Linked DNA regions of Notamacropus eugenii. The protein of the gene in region 2 interacts with the protein of the main gene of each other region in a biochemical or structural test. Links are inferred from orthologs where the notes say so. Each region holds a gene or a part of one and is shown on either strand. Other genes may lie near its edges.

Evidence for each region.
Region 1: the proteins of TNKS (region 2) and AXIN1 form a complex in vitro, tested with the Homo sapiens proteins (2 studies listed by BioGRID). The link is inferred for Notamacropus eugenii from reciprocal best matches to the Homo sapiens genes TNKS and AXIN1.

What each region holds. Positions count from the first base shown.
Region 1 is NC_092872.1:54,635,105-54,645,582, reverse strand, and holds the start of AXIN1 (axin-1), read right to left. Parts: upstream 4,319-10,478; 5' UTR 4,190-4,318; intron 1-4,189. UniProt on the Homo sapiens protein: Component of the beta-catenin destruction complex required for regulating CTNNB1 levels through phosphorylation and ubiquitination, and modulating Wnt-signaling.
Region 2 is NC_092878.1:168,032,863-168,044,016, forward strand, and holds the start of TNKS (poly [ADP-ribose] polymerase tankyrase-1), read right to left. Parts: upstream 4,334-11,154; 5' UTR 4,299-4,333; coding exon 3,623-4,298; intron 3,447-3,622; exon of another isoform or gene 3,077-3,446; intron 1-3,076.

The DNA.
Region 1 (10,478 bases), on a different chromosome or scaffold from region 2:
ACACCCCTATGAGGTAGTAAGTACAAGTATTATTAATCCCCATTTGATACATGAAAAAAGTGACACAAGAAAAATAATGAAATTTGTCTTAAGTCAAAAAGTTAGAACCAAGATTACAACCAAGTCCAATGCTCTTTCCACAATACTATGTTGTCTCTTCTTCTGCTTCTTTCACCCATTTGCATGGCTCTCCATGGAAATCTATATTTATGAAGGCATCATTTTGTTTGCCTGAGATACAGAACAGGGCACTCACAGATGGCTAGGAGTGAGTGCCACTGATAAATGTGACTTAGGTCACAATTATATGACCCAAATGGCATTTCTGCTGCTAATGATTTCTAAAAAATGATTGGCTGTGCTATAATCTCCATCTCAGCAGGAAAAGCCAATTTCTTAAGGTCAAATCTCTCCATGTTTTGGTATCCAGCTGCTCAGAGACCACTTCAATTGAAAATTAATTTTTTCAACCAGTTCACATTTACTGAGCACCTATGTGCAAAAGATTTCACTGGGCTATCAATATGTAATGTACTATTGTCCACAATGCCATCTTGTGCAAGAGGGCCAAGGCAATTAGCCACCCATGAATTAGAATATACTAGAAGTGCTGCAATCCTCAAGAAATGCCTGAACAATAAAAGCGTAATTGCTAAATTACTCCCTAAAATGTTTGATGATTGTATGCTGTCCCACAACACCTTCTGCAATACATGACTACTGATAGGTAATTTACAATAGCATTTTGTAGTTATGTGTTTAATATCTATTATCTTATTTGATCCTCACAACAACCCTGTGAGGTAGGTAGTGACAAGATTATTATCTCTACCTTACAAATCAGGAAAATGAGGACCAAAAAAAGAGAAGTGACTTGCCCAACATAACACAAAGAGGGAGCAAAAGAGCTTAGAATCCCAAACTTCCCAACTTCTATTTCAGTGTTTTTTCTACTATACATATTGCTTTTCTACAGTTCTTTCTAAAGCTTGTCTTGCAATTTAATCTGAGCATATCTTGTTTTGTATTTGTTTTCTACTTGTGCTCCACAGCACGGTGAATTTAAAAGGTCCTCAATAAATCTTATTAATTTACAATATATCAGTGCTTTGCATAAAGCAGAGTTTCAACAAATATTTGTCAAATTATTTGTTTTAAGTGAAATTTCTAAATGTTTAACTTTGGACATTCCTCTTTATTAAAGATCTCATAACTTTCTTCAACTATATTATGGAAATGGTAACAAAATTACCATCAAATGTTTCATTACAAAGCTGAAACTGTTACAACATCAATACAGGAATCAAGTGTTTATCAAATACACCAAAACAAATATGGGATAATGGAAGGAACACTAGACTAGGAATCAGAAGACCTAGGTTGTAACCTGGTTTTGCCACTAATGAACTGCGTGACCTTGGGCAAAGTACTTAACCACTTGGGGCTTCAGTTTCCTCATTTGTCAAAAGAAGGAGTTTGACTAGATCACCCTCCTCTTCTTTTTCTGCTCTAACATTCTATGATCATGTTAAACTTATCTTTCTCCACACAAATGAAATATTTCAGATTCTTTCCACTTACAAGGGTTGTCAATTAACACAAGGCAGGAGACCCTTGCTGTCTCTACAAGTACCAAAAGGAAAACACTCCCCACCAAATCTGTAGACTGGTAAAACACTATTCTTTGATTCTCAGGTCTCCAACACAGAAGTAAATCAATACAAAGTCCACTCACTCACTCATTCAATAAATAAATAAATGCAGTAAAATTAATTCATGCTAGAATAAAGTAACCACAGATATGCAATCTGGCTCAGAGCCTGTAACCTCCAACAACAAAGTTCTCCCTTGAAAGGAATGTGCTTTTAAAAGTCTGATATGCCTTTATAATTTAAGGATTGCATAAGCTCCTTTCCTGAGTACCAGGTGTCTGGACTCTTTAAAAAGTGATATGATCACTAACTTGATTCTCCCACCACAGAAAAAGCCCAAGAACATATTTCAAACCAGAGCAAGGGATGACAATTCAAAGCTACTGAAAATCAAACAGGAACATGGTCTTTTAAGTGACATCCTAACCTTTTCCCTCAGCTGAATTTCTTAGAATTGGAACTGAGCTATTCTTACACATTGTTTCAGGTCAGATACAGTTTCCCACCCAACCAGACTACAGGTGAACTCCTGTAGAAGGGCCTGTGGATCCAAGTGAACTTGAAATACTTCCTGCAGGGAGAAGCACAGAACCTTATTGTGCAGCCCCCCCCCCCCCCAAAAAAAAAAGCTAATCTCCACAATAAAAACCCTTTGTAAAAATATTTTAGATTTGGGCTGAATGAAACCGCTGAAGTATTGATGTATTTACTCTTTTTTCTTCAGAAGTTAAAGTTTTACTGACTCCCTCTAACACTGGTTTTGAGACTGCATATTCCTAAGGTTTCCTGGGGGGGGAGGGGCAGAGGGGGTGAGACGGCAGGCTGGGAGTGGGACTCCTAAAGAAAAAAATCACGCTAGGTGAGGTTTAGTCCGTGGCTACAAAGTTAGGTTTGTTACCTGTTGTCTTGGAAGGTTACAGAAGCAAGGGGCAACCCCTGAATTCTGAGGTCAAACCACATCTAGTACTACACGTTGTACAGAAAAACAACAGTATTTCTGCTCCAATTTGGGGTTATTTCTATGCCACAATCTCTTAATATCCCTCCTTTAGGTCTAATTCTGGGATTCTAACAATCATTCTACAAATCTCCAACTTGCCTCACATTAGGTATCCTCTTCTCACTTGTCTTCTTCAATCCTCCCCCACACACACACCTATGGGACTGACTCCAATTGGACACCGGCTCTACTCTATCCTCAGATTTCCTTATTTGGACCCCCTCTTCTTCACATTTCTCTACATTTAAATGCAGATACATTCCACCATCTCTCCCCCTTCACAACTAGAGATTTTCCTCACTCTGGAAATTTTATTTTTGTAGGGGGGGCGCAGAGGACAAGGTTGGGCAGTGGGTGAATTCAAAGCCTTCTGCTCAAATAGCCCTCCACATGTAAATTCCTCTATCCTATTTTACATACACACAACTAGCTATACTTCATAAACTGCTTTGGCCTCTGCCACATTCTCTCCCTTTCTATCCTACATTTTCATACTCACCTCCAGAATCATCATTCAGCCTTCTCACACCACCTACACCTCTATGACATCCTGACCTTACAAACTCGTAAGCAAGTCCTGTGCTGCTCTTTGGCCTCAGCATCCCCGTCTCCTGACACTCCCAAATTTCATTTTCTATCCTTAAACGTTTCCAGGTCTCCTCATCACTCTCAGGCATATGCAGGTGCCCTATTCCGACTTCTCAGGCATGCCCCAGGTCCCCCCCTTTCCTCTCCTCTCAGGCACTTCCTGGTTCCCCCTCCTTTCTCCTCCCTCTCCCTCCCTCCGGTACCCTTCCTTCTCCTCTCAAGCACCCCTACATCTCCTCCCCTTTCTTTCCCTCAGACACCCCCATACCCCCAGGTATCCCCTTCCCTCTTCTCTCAGATACCCCTAGACTCCAGATACCCCCCCCTCCCCCACTCCTCCTCTCCGACACCCCCCAGGTCCCTCCTCCCCTCTCCCCGTCCCTGATACCCCCAGGTCTCCCCTCTTTCCTCTTCTCAGACATTCCCAGGTCTCCCCCTCCTCTCAGACACCCCCAGGTCTTCCCTTCCCTCTCTTTTCAGACACCCCCAGACCCCTAGTACCCTCTCCCCTCTCCTCCTCTCAGACACCCCCAGACCCCCAGGTCTCCCCTCCCTTCTCTTCTCCCCAAACACCCCCAGACCCCAGGTCCCCCCTCCCCTCTCCGCTCAGACACCCCCAGACCCCAGGTTCCCCCTTCCAGACACCTCCAGACCCCAGGTTCTCCCTCCCAGACACCCCCAGACCCCAGGTCCCTCCTCTCTTCCTCTCCCCAGCTCCCCTCCTCCCTCTCTTTCCCTCCCTGGGACTCGCGCTCCCTCCAGCCGGGCCGGGCCTAGCGCGGGGCCCCGACCTCCCCTGCGGCCACCGAGCTCCCTACAATGGGCCCGGCTCCTGGGCCGGCGGGCTCCGCTCCGGGTCCGGGCCTGCCCCGCGCCCCGCGGCCCCTGCCCGGCCTCCCCCCTCAGGAATGCGCGGCCCCGGCCCGGCCCGGCCTGGCTCCCCACTCACCCGCGCGGCGGCGGCGGCGGGTCCCGGTCCCGGGGCGGGCGGGCGGCCCGGCCCATGCGGCTCAGAGGAGACCAGGCGGGCGGGACGGGGCGGGGGCGCGGCCCCGGGCGCTCCCCATGGCGGCGGCGGCTGCCTCCGGGACGGGGAAGGAGGCCCGTGGAGCGAGGTCAGCGGGCTGGGGCGCGGAGCCGGAGCCGAGCCCGAGCAGAGCCCGGGCTGCGCCGACCGCCCGGCCCGGCCCGGCCCGCTCCTGCCCCGCCCGCGCTCTGGCTTCTGCCTCCGCCGCCTCCGCTCCCCGTGCCAGGCCCGTACTCCGGGCCCCTCCTCCGGCGCTCCGGCTGCGGCCCCGGCCCCGGCCCCGCGGAGGCGGCCCCTGCCCGCTGTGGCTGCTCCTGCCGCGGTTCCTGCCGCCCGAGCCGGGAGCCCGAGCCCCCGAGCCCAGCGAGCTTCAGCTCGAGCCCAGAGCGCCACCCTCGGCGCCGCCGAGAATTGCGGGGGAGGCCCCGGGCGGGGGCGGGGGCCGGGGCGGGGCCCCGAGAGGGGACGCGCACTGGGGGCGGGGCAAGTGTGCGGCGGGGGAGGGAGGGAGAGACGAGGGAGGAGCTCCAGTAGTGGGAGGAGGGGCTGAAGGAACGCGGCGGGAGGTGGAAGGAAGGGGAAAAGGAGAGGGAGTGCGGCTGTGCAGAAGAGACGAGCTTCTGCAAAGCTCCAGCGAGCCTGGTAACCTGGGCAGGGTCCCTTCAGGTCACCGCTCCTCCGTCTGCTCAGCTGTGAAATGCACCTCAATGGTCTCTTCCACTACGAGTCCTAATATGAGGGAAAGGGAAAGAGAAGGTGAAGGAGGGAAAGAAAGAAAAGGGGGGGAGATGAGAGGGAAAGGGAAGGAGAAGGTGAAGGAGGGAAAGAAAGAAAAGGGGGGAGATGAGAAGGAAAGGAAGACACTGGAGGGAAGGCAGAGGAGGAGAAGGGCGGCAAGGAAAGATGGCCAGGAACGTTAGCAGAGGCCCGGAGATGAACTGGAAAGGTGGAGAGAAGAAAGGGCATCCATCCTAAGCTTCCTCTTCTCTCCTCCATACCCCGAAATCCCTTTTCTTCTTTATCCCCCGTTATCTTTTCTTTTGTCCCAGTTGCAGATAACCCTGCAACTTGTAGTCTTGTCACCATATCCTCCAGAAGTGACTGCTCCCTCTCCCTCGCACCTTCAGTATCTCCTTATCCACTGAGTTGTTCCTACTAAAAGATCCAGGTTTCACACATCCTAAAAACAGAACAAAATAAACAAAACCACACACACACAAACCTTCATTTGATAACTACTTCCCCTCAAGCTATCCATCCATACCTATTAAGCTACAGACCAACTTCTCTTCTCCTTTTCCAAGATAAACTCCCTATATCCATTTCCTCCCTTCCCACTCAGTTCTGAGTACCTTGCATTTCTACTTCTGACCCCAGCCCTCAATAAACTGCTCTTACCAAGGATATCTACTAGATCTAGGGCCTTTTCTCAGTCCTCATTCTACTTGATCTCTCTGAAGCTTTGGACCTGACAATCCCTTTCTTCCCCTTTCCTTCTCTCCTCCCTTGAATTACCTGGGATCATAGAATTAGAGCTGGAAAGGAACTGAGCAGGCAGCTAGTCCTGAGTGGGCAGCTAGTCCAGCTTTATTTTAGAGAAGAGGAAATAGCCACACAGAGAAGGTAAGTGACTTGCCCAGGGTGGAAGTCATCAAGTATCTAAAGTAGGGTTAGAACCCAGGTCTTTCTGATGCCAAATTGAGTACGCTATCCACTATGCCACTGGCTCCTGACACAGTTTTCTTTTAGTTCTCCTTCTAGAATTCTAAATAGTTCATTTCAAACTCTTTTGCTAGATCATCATCACCTTCTTTGCCCATTAAGTGGGCTCTGTTCTTTCTATCTATTTAATGTCCTGATCAACTCCCATGGGATCAATTATCATCTTGTTGCAGTTTCTCAAATCTATGTATCTAGAATTGATGTCTCTTCCAGGTTCCAATGCTACATATTCTGTTATCTACAGGACATCTCTACCTAAAACGAGATGCTCATTTTCCTAAAATACATCCCTCTAAACTTCCCTGTCACTTCAGTCATCCAAGACTGATACCACTGGTATGATCCTTGAGTCCTCCCTCTCCCTCAATCCCCATACCCTATCAGTTGTTAATACTGCCTTCATAACATCTCTGCCATCAGTCCCCTTCTCACACTTCACAAGATCATCACCCTAATTCAGATTCTCATTACCCCTCACGTGGACTATGGCAAAAGCCTCCTAATTGATCTCAAAGCTTCCAAACTCTCCCCTCTCAAATCCATCCTCAACAGAGTTGTCAAACCAAAATTCCTAAAATAAAGGCCATGGCTCACATATCTCTTCTCAAAAATCTTTAACAACTCTCTTGCCTCTAAGAGAAACACAAACTTCCTCAGCATGGAATCTTAAGACATCTACAGACTTAGTGCAGAGTGAGGAAGGAACCATCTGAAGTCCTCCCAAATTCCCCTCGAAACAACTAGAAAACCACCTCAGAATTGACCCAGGAGCAGGAAAGAAGCTTACCAGCACAGCAGGAAAGGTCTGTCTCACTGGGGTGGGAGCGGAGCGAGGTCTAAGAACAGTAGCAGCAGCAGCCAGCCTCACAGAAGGAGACCTGCAGCAAATCTACCTAGGAGGCTCCACCCTCCTGCAAGTCAGCAGCCCCCCAGGCAAGTTAAGCAGTCTATACTGAGAAGCACAGCCCTATCCCCCAAAGCACAAGCCACCAGCCAGGCCTTGACCCCATTGCTGACCAGTACTGAAGCCCTACCCTGGGGCTGCCTAACACTGAGACCCTGTCCCAGGGGCCTACCAGCAGAGAGACCCTGTTTCAATAGCAACCCAGCAATAGGACCCCACCCCTGGGGCAGGCCAGCAGCTAAATTCCACACTTGGTCAACAAGGAAGGCCTACCTCCTAGTGAAAGCCATAAGGGAAGCCTACGTTCCAGGAAAGACAAGCATCTTCTAAGCCCTGAAGCCCAGTGAAAGCCAAGAGTAAAACCTAGAGCCCTAGTGCAAAAACCTTGGGACAGTGCAGAACCAGAGGACAACTCTCACATAAAAACACCAAGTCACAGAAAAAGTGTGGTGAGGGGTGGGGTGGGGAGAGGCAACAAGAAAAAATGAGTTAAAAACAAAAAAGAGCTTGAAAATAGAAAAGTATTATGGTGATAGGAATGATCAAGACATAAACTTAGAAAAGGACATAGTGTCAAAATCGCTATGTGTGAAGACTCAAAGGAAAATGTAATTTGGTCTCAGGCCCGAAGAGAATTCCTGGAAAAGTTTAAAAGAGATTTTTAAAAAGCAAATTAGAGAAGCAGAAGAAAAATTGGGGAAAGGAATGAGAGTAATGCAAAAGAATCATGAAAAGAAGAGTCAATAGAATGGGAAAAAATATACAAAAATTTACTGAGGAAAATAACTCCCTAAGGAACAGAATTGGTCAAATGGAAAAGGAAGTACAAAAGTTCACTGAAGAAAAAAATTCCTTAAAAATTAGAACTGAACAAGTTGAAACTAATGATTCTATGAGACATCAAGATACAATAACACAAAATCAAAAAAGTAAAAGAAAAATAGAAGAAAATGTATAATTTCTCACTGGAAAAACAAATGACCTAGAAAATAGATCCAGGAGAGATAATATAAAAATTACTAGATCAACTGAAAGCCATGATCAAAAAAAAAAGCCAGGACAACATCTTTCAAGAATTTATCAAACAAAACTGCCCTAGACCAACCAGAGAGCAAAACAAAAATTGAAAGAATCCACCAATGATTGCCTGAAAGAGATCCCAAAATGAAAATTCCCAGGAACATCATAGTCAAATACTTGAGTTCACAGATCAAGGGGAAAGTATTGCAAGCAGCCATAAAGAAACAATACAAATATTGTGGAGCTACAGTCAGAATTACATAGGATTTGGTGGCTTTCACATTAAAGAACTGGAGGGCTTAGAATATGATATACCAGAAGGCAAAGTACTTAGGATTATAACCAATAATCACCTACCCAGCAAAATTGAATATAATCTTTCCAGGGGAAAAATGGATATTAAAAAAAATAGAGGACTTTCAAGCATTTCTAATTAAAATATGAGAGCTGAATAAAAAATTTAACCTCCAAATACAAGACTCAAGGGAAACATAAAAAGGTAAACAAGAAAGAGAAAACAAAAGAAATTCACTAAGGTTAAGCTGTTTATTTTTCTATATGTCAAGATAATATTTGTAACTCTTAATATCTTTAAGTAAGGAGCATATGTAGAGAGAGGGGGTGGATAGAAGGTGATTTTGATGGGATGATACTCCCCCAAAAGAAAACAAAATAAAGGAGTGAGAAAGAAAATTGCACTGGAAGAAGGAAGGAGGAGACTGAATGGGATAAATTATCTCCCATAAAAGAGGCATGAAAGAGCTATTATAATGGAGGGGTAGATTGGGGTAGGGGTGGGGAGGTAGGGGGGGAGGAAAAAGAATGGCCAGCAAAGCTTAAACCTTACGCTCATCAAAACTGGCTCAAAAAGGGAATAACACGCATTTAGTTGGATATAGAAATCTATCTTACCCTATAAGGAAGTAAAAAGGGACAGAGATAATAGAAGGGGGAGGGGAGGACTGATAAAAAAGGGGGTATATTGGGGTGGTGATCAGAAATAAAACACTTGTGAAGAGGGAAGGGTGAAGTGTAAAAGAGAGATGGGAATTAACAAGTGAAAAATAGCATGGATGGAAATATACAGTTAGTCATCATAACTATAAATGCGAATGGGATGAACTCTCCCGTAAAATGAAAGTGGATAGTAGAATGAATTAAAAATCAGAATCCTACAATATGTTATTTACAAGAAACACATATGAAGCAGACAGATATACACAGGGTAAAAGTAAGGAATTGGAGCAGAATCTATTCTGCTTCAGCTGAAGCAAAGAAAGCAGAAGTAGCAATCATGATCTCAGAAAAACACAAAATCAAAAATAGGTATAATTAAAAGAGATAAAAAAGGAAACTATATCTTACTGAAAGGTACCACAGACAATGAAGTCATATTAATATTAAATATATACACCAAATGGTATAGCATCTAAATTTTTGAAGAAGTTGAATGAGTTACAGGAGGAAATAGATAATAAAACTATACTAAGTGGGGGACCTCAACTTTCCCATCTCAGAACTAAATAAATCTAACCAAAAAATAAACAAGAAAAGTTAAGGAGGTGAATAAAATTCTGGAAAAGTTAGATATGATAGATCTCTGGAGAATGGAAATAGAAAGGAAAATACCTTTTTCTCAGCAATACATGGCACCTACACAACAATTGACCATGTATTAGGACATAAAAACATCACAACTGAATGCAGAAAGGCAGAAATAGTAAATACATCCTTTTCGGATAATAATGCAATAAAAATTACATTCAATAATGGAAAATGGAAAGAGAGATTAAAAATTGACTGGAAATTAAATAATCTAATCCTAAAAAATAAGTGGGTCAAAGAACAAATCATAGAAACAATCAATAATTTCATTAAAGAAAATGACAACAGTGAGACAACATACTAAAATTTATGGGATTCAGTCAAAGTGGTACTTAGGGGAAATTTTATATCTCTAATTGCTTACATAAATAAAATACAGAAAAGGCAGATCAGTGAATTGGGCATGCAATGAAAAAAAACTAGGAAAAGAAAAATTAAAAATCCCCCATTAAACACCAAATTGGAAATTCTGAAAATCAAAGGAGACATTAATAAAATTGACAATACAAAAACCATCAAACTCATAAATAAAACTAGAGTCTAATTTTATAGGAAAAAACCCAATAAAATAAACAGCTGGTTCATTTGATTTTTAAAAAAAAAGGAAAGAAGAAAACCAAATTACTAGTATTGAAAATATAAAGGGTAAATTCATCACCAATGAAGAGGAGATTAAAACAATTGTTAGGAGCTAATTTGCTCAATTATATGCCAATAAATTTGACAATCTAAATGAAATGGATCAATGGGTACAAAAATATACATTACCAAAGTTAAGAGAAGTAAAATACTTAAATAACCCAATCTTAGAAAAAGAAATTGAACAAGCTATCAATGAATTTTCTAAGAAAAAATCTCCAGTACCAGAAGGACATACTAAACATTTAAAGAACAATTTCTCTGAACACTATATAAAATATTTGAAAAATCAGGCAAAGAAGGAATTCTGCCAAATTCCTT
Region 2 (11,154 bases):
GAGGACAGAAATAGGAATAAGCAGACAGAAGCTACAGAAGTAGATTCTGGTTCAGTGTACCAAAAACCTCCCCAGGAAGGACTGGGTTGTCCATAAGTGGGCTGAGCACCTTAGGCTGACATTCTTGTCACAGCTGTTACAAACTGCTGGGGCAGGGGCTGGACTCCATGGCCTTTGCCAGTCATTTCAATTCAGTTGGTAAACATTTAAAACCTCAATCTCGTGCTCACATGATGACCAAAAGGCCAACAAGTCTATGGACATCTCCAAGCCTGGCACTGAAAACATCATTCATCTGCTCTGCTACTAAACCACTGAACTCCTATGACCAGCAGGCTGGATGCAGTGGAGAAAAGGAAGGGGTTTAAAGGAAGGTTATGGAAACAAATAATAAAAGTTATTGCAAAATGAGGATACCACCCATCCCGAGGGAACTTTATAGACTGCAACTTCCCATCTAAATGTACTCATTTATTTCTATCCTTCTCTCCTGGCTCTAATCTAATCACCACCTGATTTATTCACTGACCTACCAAGCAATTCTCCTATTAGGCCATCTTGAGTAATTTGTACCAATCTGGCTTCCAACCTCCTCACTGCCCTTTCCAAAGTCACCAATAAACAAAGGCCAGTCCTCCTGCTTCTGGCCTTTTCCGAAGCCCTCCGCACTGCTGATCAACTGCACTGCTGATCAACTTTTCGTCGGGTTACTCTCTCCTCTCTAGTCTTGATTCTCCTCCCTATTTCCGTGGTACAATAGCCCCTGTCTCTGCTGAATCATCATCGGTGCCATCTGCCTTAACTGGGAATATTCCCCAAGGCCCTCTTCTTCCTCCATCTCTTCTACTCCCCCAGGTAAAGTCTAGAATGCTTCAGGGCTTAATTATCTTCTCTATGCAAATAATGCTGATGCCTATTTACCTGACTGGCCTTGGCCATGGTCACTTTAATGCGGAGGCCCCAGTTTCCTGTGACTGGACAGTTGATCAATCAGATCTTTTCAGGTCTCTTTCTGGCTCCGGATTTAGGAAACCGTGACTCCTACCAGTTCCTCTCCAGCTAGCCCTAGTCTCTCTCATGAGTTCTGGAAAAAGGCAATAGGTTATCCTGAGAGGGGGCAAGACTGTTCACCTGACTGATCCTTCACCTGGAAGACGGTCATCTACCCAAGGGCCAGTGTGGCTTCAGAAAGGACCAAAGCTTGGCAGACATGGTATCTGCTGCCCAGAAGAAAAGCCAGGGGCAGAAGAGAGAAGCCTAGAAACAATGTGCATTTGACCTAACCAAGACCTTTGATACTGTCAGTTGTGAGGGTCCAGGAAGGATCATGGAGAAATCTGGTTGCCAGAAGTTCATCAGTATTGTACATCAATTTCATAATGGCAGGCTTGCCAAGGTTCTGGATAATGGACAATGCTCTCATGGAACCATCAGTTACAGCAAATGGAGAAATTTAGAATGCTGGAGATTAATTCAATTACTTTGGCAGTCTACTTTCCAGGGATGTCCACATGAATGAAGCTGAGGCATCCATTGCCAGAGCTAACTCAGAGACTGGGAGAGTCCAAAAGAAAATGTGAGAGAAGAGAGGTATTCAAACTGCCTACCAAACTGACAGCCTACAGAGCCATGTGCTGACCTCACTGTTGTATGCCCATGAAACCTGGACAGTCTATCAGGGCCAAGCCAGGAGACAGATTCATTTCCATTTGAATTGTCTTAGGAAGATTCCGAAGATCACACGCTCTCCTTTGCAAGATGTTCAGTAGATGGTCTGGGTCCCAGCCTCTACCCTCTTATTACTTAAAGGCTTTACCTCCCCAGGCACTTTCAGCTTCTTGGATCCATCTTAACTCCTATACCCTCCACATAGCTTCCTTCATTCCCCTTGTCACTCACAGAGGTGGTCAGACCTCAAAGTGCTCTCACTGTCATCCAGAAACACTTCTAGGATCTGGAAAGCTGACATCCCTCTCCTGACTGGCATCAAACACTTGCTCTGCCTCATCTCTCCTGAACTGTCTTCACCACAGTCTATCGCCCCTCCCTCCTCCTTCTCAGTCTATAGTTCATCATAACAAGACACAGTGTTCACACCTCACTTCCACCATGGCCTCCTGTTCTGGCTCCTAGAGCTGCTGAACACTGCCTAGGGAAGTCAACAAAAGCTGCCAGATGCAACACAGAGTCACAGTATCTTATCTCAACCTCCCCATCCTCATACTGCTCTCTGACAGACTCTACCTCACTCCTGCACTTCCCAACCTTTCCCTAAAACTCCAAAATCACTCCCATTGGTAGTTACCATCGCTACAATGTCACACACATACACCCATCCTTATCTGTCTCCTGAACAAACTCCTGTGGGATATTTCCACAAGACTGTTCTGTCAGCATCTCCCCTCTAGAACCCAACTTCAGCACACTTTCCCCATCCTCTAAGGGCACTACCATCCAAACTCCTAGTCACAAAGGTAAATGACCTCGGTAGTTCCTGACCCTCCCCACTGCCTCACTGTCCGTAATCAATGACTTGTCATATCTTGTCTCTACAATCTCTTTCTCTCACTCCGATTTCCATTACCCCAGTTCTGACTCTCATCACGGCTGACCTGGGCTACTCTCAGATCCTCCCAATCCATTTCCCATCTTCCACAAAACTGCCCAGGTCTGTCCATGTAACTACCATGCTCCAAAACCATCAGGGAGTGGCTCCTGCCTGTTAATGCAGCCCGGTATGTGAGAACTTACACTCAGGTTTGGTCCGCAGGGAGCTGCCAAGAATGGAAGGTGAGTCAATTCTTACTTCAGCCCTCCATCGAGCCAGCCCCAGACCACACACCCCAACATTGCTTCATCCCAGGGCCTCGCCACATGGGCACCTTGCCGCCTTCTCTGCCACTGTGTGCCTATCCCCACTAGCAACAACAGCCCTTACACCCCACACCCCCTCCCCTCCAATACTGTGGGCTGAGTGGATGCTCAGCCCCCATCCAGCCAAACCCCAAACCAAGCATTACGCTCTCCAGGCATTTGTCCTACTACAGCCCCCCAGACGCCTGCCCTTCCGTCTCACCTTTCTCAGGGAACAAGAGTCAAATCCGCATCTCTCCTGCTTCAGTCCCCTCACAACCCGCTGGGCTTCCCGCTGGCAGGCACCCTCCCCTTTTCTCTCTGCAGCCCCAGGCCCCCAGCAGGGTGCCAGCCCCTTCCCTAGCCGTGGGAACCCTGGTCTACACCACGTCCTCCACGCTTCTGGCACTGAGCAGGAAAGAGTGCACTGGCACGGCAGACTGCCCCGGCGGGGTAACCTCAGCAAGCGCCCAAGAAGCGCTCAGAGAAGCGGCGGCACAGCAGGGGTGCAGGAGCGCGCTGACACCCACCCGGCGGCGCTCCAGGACCGACCTGGGAGGGGGTCCGCAAGCCTCTGCAAGGGCTGCCCAAGCCCCCAGCTTCGGGGCATCCCCGCTCCCGGCCGCGGGAGCCCCCCCACGTGGCTACAACCCAGGGAGCGGAGGCCGCAGCGGCACCGGGGAGGTTCCGATCCGCCCGGCCCGTGACCTCAATAGGCGCCTCTGTCTACGCCGCCGGCCCGCCCGCCCCTCCCCCTCCTCCTCCTCACCGGCCGCGAAGTGCAGCGGGGACGACTTGCGGCCGGCCAGGTCCTTGGCGTTCACGTTGGCCGCGTCCACGAGCCTCCGCACCCGGGCCACGTCCCCGTTGCGGCAGGCCTCCAGCAGCTCGCGCAGGGCGCCGCTCACGGCCGGCCCCGGGCCCGGGCCCGCCTCCGGGGGGCTGTCCGAGGGGCTGGGCCCCAGCGAGCCGGGGGACGACGAGGCCGAGGAGGCCGAGGAGGACGAGGACGAGGACGACGAGGAGGCCGACGAGGAGCACGAGGACACCGAGGCGGCAGAGGCGGCGGCGGCGGCCGGGCAGGACGCGGGGCAGGGGCAGGGCCCGGGCCCCGGAGCAGAGGCCGAGGCCGGGCCGGCGCTGTCGGCGGGCTCGGGGGAGCGCGGCCGCTCAGGCCCCGGCCCGCCCCCGCCGCCGCCCCCGGGCCCGGGCCCGTCCGCGTCGGGAGGCGCCGAGAGGCCTCCGTGGCGCGGGGAGGCCGCGGGGGACGCGGGCCCGGGGCTCAGCGAGGGCGGCGGCGGCGGCGGGGGGGCCGCTCCGGCGGGGCCCGGCGGCAGCAGCGGCAGCGGCAGCGGCGGCGGCAGCGGTGGTGGCGGCGGCGGCGGCGGGTGGTGGCCCCCGTGGTGGTTGTGGTGGTGATGCTGAGAGCGACGCGACGCCGCCATCTCCCCACTCCCTCCGCACGGTCACTGCGGCAACCGGGCCAGCGCCCACCCCCACTTCCGCCCGCCCGGGGCCAATCAGCGGCCGCGGCCGCGGAAGCGAGGACGCCGAGGGAAGCAACGGCCGCGGCCGCGAGAGCTGACGGGAAGGAGAGGGCGGGGCCCTCCGGGAAACGGGCGAATGGAGAGAGCTGCCTCTCCGGGGAGGCGGGCTTTGGGCCCTAAGGGGCGGGGAAGGAGGAGAAGGGCGAGGACCCCCTCCTCGAGGATGGGAGCGGTTTAGGGGGCGGGGCTGAACCAGGAGGGACGAGCCATCCGTGAAGGGGCGAATGGAGAGCCACCTCCCCAAGGATGGGAGAGATTGGGGGGGCGGAGCTTAAATCTGGGAGAAGTCGTCCCAGGAGGAACGAATGAGGAGAGTCTTCTCACCGGGGAGGCGGGACTTAAGCCTGGGAGGCGGAGCCAAGGAGGAATGAGCGAAAGAGGAGAACCGCTTCTCAGAGGAGGAGAGGCGGAGCTTAATCCTGAGAGAGGAGCCATACAGGGAGGGCCGTCTCTCTGAGGAGGCGGGTCTTAACGCTGGAGGGCGGGGCCCCAGGGGAATGAGTGAATGGCCTCTCGGAGGGAGGGGGCGGAGCTTAAACCTGAGGGCGGAGCCGTCCAAGCCGGGCCGAATGGAGAAGGCTACCTCTCTGGGGAGGCGGGGTTTAACCCTGGAGGGGTTAACCCTGGAGGACAGAAAGGAGACGGGCCGCCTCCTGGAGGATGGGAGGGGCCAAGAGGCGGGGCTTTGGGGGGAGGAGCGTTCCAGGGGCGGGGCCAGAGGATCACCTCCTTCCTTGCCCCGACGTCGCCCAACGGCGTCGGCCCGGCTCCGGGCAGGTGGTCCCCACCGGGCTCCGGGAGCTCCCACTCTCCCCGGACGGCTTCCTCTTTTGCGCCCTTCCCCTTGACCTTGAGCTCCCTGGGCTGGCCGCGGTCCTGGCTCCTGCCCGGCGCCCCACCTCGGAGGTCCAGCCCTTGCGGCCCCGGGCCGGGACTGCCCCTGACGCCAACGCTTACGGGAGGGCTTGGGGTGCAGGGAGCTGCAGGAAGCGGGCCGAGAGATCCCCGAGCGCCAGCGACGCCCCCCACTCACTGGGGGTCACGAAAGGCCTGGGGGCAGTGCCAGGCGCGGGGGGGAGGGGGCACCAGGCTTGCGGGAGCGCAGAGAGTGGCAGGGCTTACCCAGGACTGGTCCAGAGAGCCAGAGCCGCACCTGGCGGTGCTAGGAGCCCTCCACGGCTCCGGAGGTTCTGCGCCCCCCAGCCCCGGGCATCCCTCCCTCCTCCCCGCCCTGCGGCTCCCAGTACCCCACACCAGACTTTCCTCGCCCTCTTCTTCGTTCCCTTCCATCTTTGAGAATGGAAGGAGTCTTGAAGGTAAAGAAAAGGCCTTCCTGTCCTCGTTCTGCTCCATCCTGAATCAATGACCCGACCTGGGGCAAGTCAGCGGGAGCTGGGGCGCCCAACGCCCTGTCTAGAGCTTAGCTGCGTATGGTCCGGCCCCCCCCCCCCCCCATTAGGGTATCAGCTCCTCAAGGTCGGGGCTGGCCTTTGCCCTCCTTGGAATTCCCAGGCTCAGCTCAGTGCCGAACGTGCTTGCTGGCTAATTTATACAGAGCAAAGCGCTTTGCCTGCTTCTCATCTGATCCTTCCCACCCCTCGGAGGCAGGTACTGCCCTTCTGCCCTCTTTAGGGATGAGGAAACGAGGGTTCGGACAGCTTGTGGCCGCTCAGACATCGCTAATAAGGATCCGAGACCCGACCTTGCACCCTCTTAAATCTAGGGCTGTAGCCATTACATCATGACAACCCCTCCAGTCAAAAGAGCAGGAGGGAGAAACTGAGGGCCAGAGAGGCTGATCCGAACCGATGCCTCCCAAGACATAAGCTGGAAAGCCAGGATTCAAGCCCAGGTTTTCTGCCTCCAGTAAGGACCTACTATGTGCTTAGATCTAGAAACACGATGTTTTGTGATTCAGTCTGCTCTCAGGAAGCTTACACTCCACTAGGATGCAACAGGTACACAAATATGAACAAAATAAATTTCAGGCAACTTCAGGGAGAGGATGGCATTAGCAGCTGGGAGGCTGGTTTAAATGGTGAATCTGACATAATCCTAGACCAGGCCATCAACTGTCGGAGTCATTCTGCATGATGTGCAAAACAAAGGGCCTTGTATACATGCTTTCTGCATAATCAAACTTTTGTAGAGACAGAGCAGGTCTTTTGCTTCCATTTTGCAAGGAAGAAAACAGGCTAGAGAATGAGTTTTTGTGCTGTACTGGAATGAATGGCCTAAGGTCTATGTGTGTGTACATTTTTGTACATCAGTTCTCTCTCGATCTCAGTCACTAGTTTTATATGTAATGAGAGTCTTCCCAATGAGTGTCTAGTCCTCTGAGCAAGCACAAGATCCCAGACCCTGCTTCATCCCATCATACAGAGTCTTGAGGAGCCACCTTTGGGAGGTAACTAACAAAGAGTCTGAAGGGTTTTCTGGTTGACTGCAAAGCTGGAAGTATTAATGACAGAAAAGGAACTTAACTGGCTTAGGGAAGAATCATCCCTTTCTCATCTTTCCTCTCTTCCCTGGTGACTTTCAAGTGGAACAGAATGTTGGGAGCTTCTGGGTTGAGGAGGAATTGTGTGTGGCTACCTCATCTCCCTCCTGACCACCACGTGCTCCTGAGCACATGGTGTCCCTGCTTCTGTGACCATTAACGCCTTGGCTAATAGTCAATTCATTTCCCTGGAGCTGGTCCTTGCTCTATTCAAAAGCTTCTCATTTACATCCCAGAACAAAATGTTTACCCTAAATGAAATGTAGCTCATTACAAATGACTGTAACTCCCTTTCTTACTCTCATAATACAATGAGGAGTCTGTCTTGCTTTCAGTCCCTACCCGACAGTCCTGTGGGGCAGGCATGCCAGGCCAGACTGCTTTTGGGTTCAGAATGTGGGCAGATTGGAATGGACTCCTGCTTCTTTAGGCACCTTTGAGTAAAGAGGCTGAAAGCAATGCTTCTCTTCCTGCTACTCATGCCCCTGTCAATAACAAAGAAGAATGATCAACCCAGCACATTGTGAGATGAAAAATATGATGTATGAAGAGAACTGGATGCCTAGCATTCCCCGAAAAAGCCAATGGTCCATTTCCCAGATCTGTCTTTCCTCAACATGCTGCCGAAGGTGATGGATAGAGGCTCCTGTCTCTATCTTTGAGCACCCCTCAAAGAACAAGTCCAGTTCTCAAGAAGGAAGGACACACTGTGGTCACATAAGTAAACACAGAATAAATACAATGGGGTTTGGGGAAGGATGGCAGTAGCCATGGGGGATCAGGAAAGGCCAGGTATAGAAGGCAGTGCTTGGACTGAGTCTTGGATGAATCAAGTAGTTTTATGAAACAGAGGAGAGTGGGGGAGGAAACATATGCCAGGCATGGGGGGCAGTCAAGGCAAAGCACAGACATGGGAGATGAGTGAATAAATGCAACTTGTACCATGGGCTAAGTGATGGGAACATAGAAAAGCACAGTGTTGCTGCTAGGAGTAGTGAGAAAACCACTGTTGGTGACAGGAAAACACTGAAGCTTTTTGAGCAGGGTAGGAGTAGAGCGAGAAGGATCTCCTCAGAAGATTATGTAGCAGCCCTGGGGAGAACTGACTAGGAGACACATCTCCTGAAAAAGGAAGGACTCTTCTGGGATTGTTAAATAATGTGAAGTCACCTTAGCCCTGTGCTGCTATTTACATGTCTGGGTGGTCTGTGCCCTGGCTGGCTGGCTCACCAAACCTGCACCCATGCTAGCAGTGTACACTGCATTGACACAACTCCAGACTTTCTCAGAGTCCAGGGACATCCTTGGTGTGTGGGGGGTAGAGTGGGCTGGGGAAGGGTCCACTCTTCCTAGTGGCCACAGTGGGTACTGAATCCACACCAGAGGGCTTCCCACTTTTGCCACATCAAACCTTAAACCTAAAGCATTTACTAAACAAGGCAAAAGCAATAATCATCATATCATCTGTTCAACAGAAGGCATGAAGAAGAATAAGTAAAATATGACAGTCTCCCACCTATGGGTGCAGGCCGACAGAGGGTGGGGAGGGGCAGGACAGGACCTGTACTTACGGAAACCTAACAGGGAAACACATAAGGAAACCCCACAAGTCTGGGACTGCAGGTTGTTACCTGTTCAGGTCCTTGGTCTATGTAGCAACAATCTGCAGTGGTGGATCCATTTCTCCGCTTCTGGTCCTCCATGCTCTCTCGCTAAACAAAGCTGCTCTTGTATTTTCAAGCAAATGAAGCACTCTCCCTGGAGAAAGTGTTGCTTTGTTGTAGTGACAAACCCTCTGTGAACTTCCACTTTCAGGGGTTTCTGCTTCATCCAATAATCTCCAAGCCTTTTCTCACAGAGAAGCCCAGGTCACCACAAGATGCAAAATGCATCTCTCTGTTTCTTGTTCTCCAACCAGAGCCATGAAGGCACCTTGGAGAGGTTTCTCCTTCACCTTTATATGGCACTGCAGCGCAAGAAGCCCATACAGCCCTGCGCCGGTCAGTCAATGACTCCAGCCTTTCCTCAACAAGGCCATCAGAAATGCATTGCCTCTTCTCCAATCCACAGGTTCCCAACACAATATTCAAAGGTTCAGAGGTCAGAGAGGTCAGGAAGGATGAGGACTGAGAAAAAGTCATTAGATTTGCAATGATGAGGTCACTAATCATGAATGATTCAGCCCCCAATTAAAAATAAACTTTCCAAGTCTTTTAGATGCTAAATGAGGTTTTGGATTATATTTTTTAAAAATTATTCAGACTATTGGGTTGAGAGAAAATTGGGTTGCGAGTTAAAGGGGGTTTTAAAAGAAAACACAGACACACAGGTAGAGACCTTCCCTCTCCCAGACTGGAGCTAAATGAACTTGTCTTCCTTGGATATGCACATCTTTCCTTCTCAAGACACTGGGGAGTTTAGTCCAAATTAGTAAACACAAACCGCTGCTGTCTCTCATGATTTTCAGCATTTCTGGTGAAGGACCTGGGTTCTGTTCTGGACATGTGTTTGAGCTGCCTGTGGGATGTTCAGGCAGGGATGTTTGGCTGGCAGTTGGAGATGTGGACTGGGGTTCAGGAGAGACACGTGAGCTGACTATATAGACCTGGCTGTCATCTGCATAAGGATAATGAGATCTCTGTGGAAGAATGTGTGCCAAAGGAGAGAAGAGCCAGGATGGAATCCTTGGGGATAGCACACATAGCAAAGCAGAACAGGGGTGATGCCTGAGGAGTGCTCAAACAAAGTGAGACGAGGGTTTTTCAAAGTCCATTCTGTGATTCCTTCCCCAGGAAGCCATATCTCCCTGTTGCTATGTCCCCCCCTCAATGGGGCCTCCAGAGACCATGCCCAGCAGGAGCCAGGCCCAGTTGGAAGATCCCACTCCATCCAATACCCCCCCCCCCCCCCAATCTCCCCAGACCCAGCTTCTCCTGGGCCATCCTGTTGATCACTTTATTTCATCCCCTCCTTTCCCCTAGGACATCTTGCTCTGGGCACAACAATCAGATCAGCTCTTTCATCCCTCCGGAAGGAGCCTGTCAGTCAGTTGCCCTATGATTCATTCATTCCATTCTTGGGACACCTTAGACCAAAGTCTCCTGTCCTCCCTCATTCCAAAGCAAGCTTTTAAAGCAAGAACTGCTTTTTCTTTTTTTTTTTTTTTTTGGTCTGACTTTGCATCCCTTGATCTTAACATACCCTACCTGGCACATAAGGGCTTCACTGGTGTGTTTGCCTTCATTCAATCAGTCATTCATTCATTCCTCATTTATTCATTCATTAGCTCTCATCTTTTCAAAGGATTCTTTTTCCTGAGCTCTTCCAATGCATCCTTATCCTCCTCCCCCTCCCCCGTTTTCCAGACCAAGATGTTCTAATGCCAGATAACTAGTCATCCAGCCTTGACAGACTGTCACGCTCTATATCGAACAAGTGTTTCAGAGAGAATGAGAGAACTGTCTGCCCTGCTTCCCTTGGGCTATTTAGTGCATTCTCAGACTCCTGACTAATCCCGTGGCCCTTGCCCATCCCTGCCTCGGTCAGCCTTTCAGTCAGCTTAGCCGCTGGGCCTCGGCAGCAGCCAAAACCTCAGACATTCAGTGCCCACTTCCAGATTGCCTTTGGCCCAAGACCTTGTTGCCCTTTAACAAGCAGGGGCATCCTATGGCATTCTGCCCAGAGCTCCAGGCTGGGAACCTGGGGACCCAGACTCTCCTCCTTGACTTTGTGACCTTGGACAAAATCCTGACTGTCTCTGGGCTTCCCTTCCTTCCTCTGGAAAAAGAGAAGTGTGTAATTGTCTGGTTCCATCTGAGAGATATCTTCCTACATCTGTCCTCTTGTTCAATGTAAACAAGATGGGCACCCCCAAAAGAGCCGAGCTGCTTCCCCTCTACGGCAGAGACTTTGTTGGACAACCAGCCCTGACAGACAAAACCAGTGTCTCTAGGTTTGAGTTACAGGAGAAAGCTTTTGTTTGGGCTGGGGGAGGTTAGGGGAAAGTGATCCAAGAACAAAAAGAAGGAAATAAGTATTTACGAGATGCCTCCTATGTGCTAGGGATGTGCACTTTATACGTATTCTCTCATTTGATTCTCACAATAACCCTGGGAGATGGGGGCTTTATGATTCCCATTTTACAGATGAGGAAACTGAGGCACAGAGCGGTTAGGTGATTTACCCAGGGGGTCATGCAGCTAATAAGTGTCTGAGGCTGGATTCCAATTCAGCTCTTCTTATCTCCAGATCCAG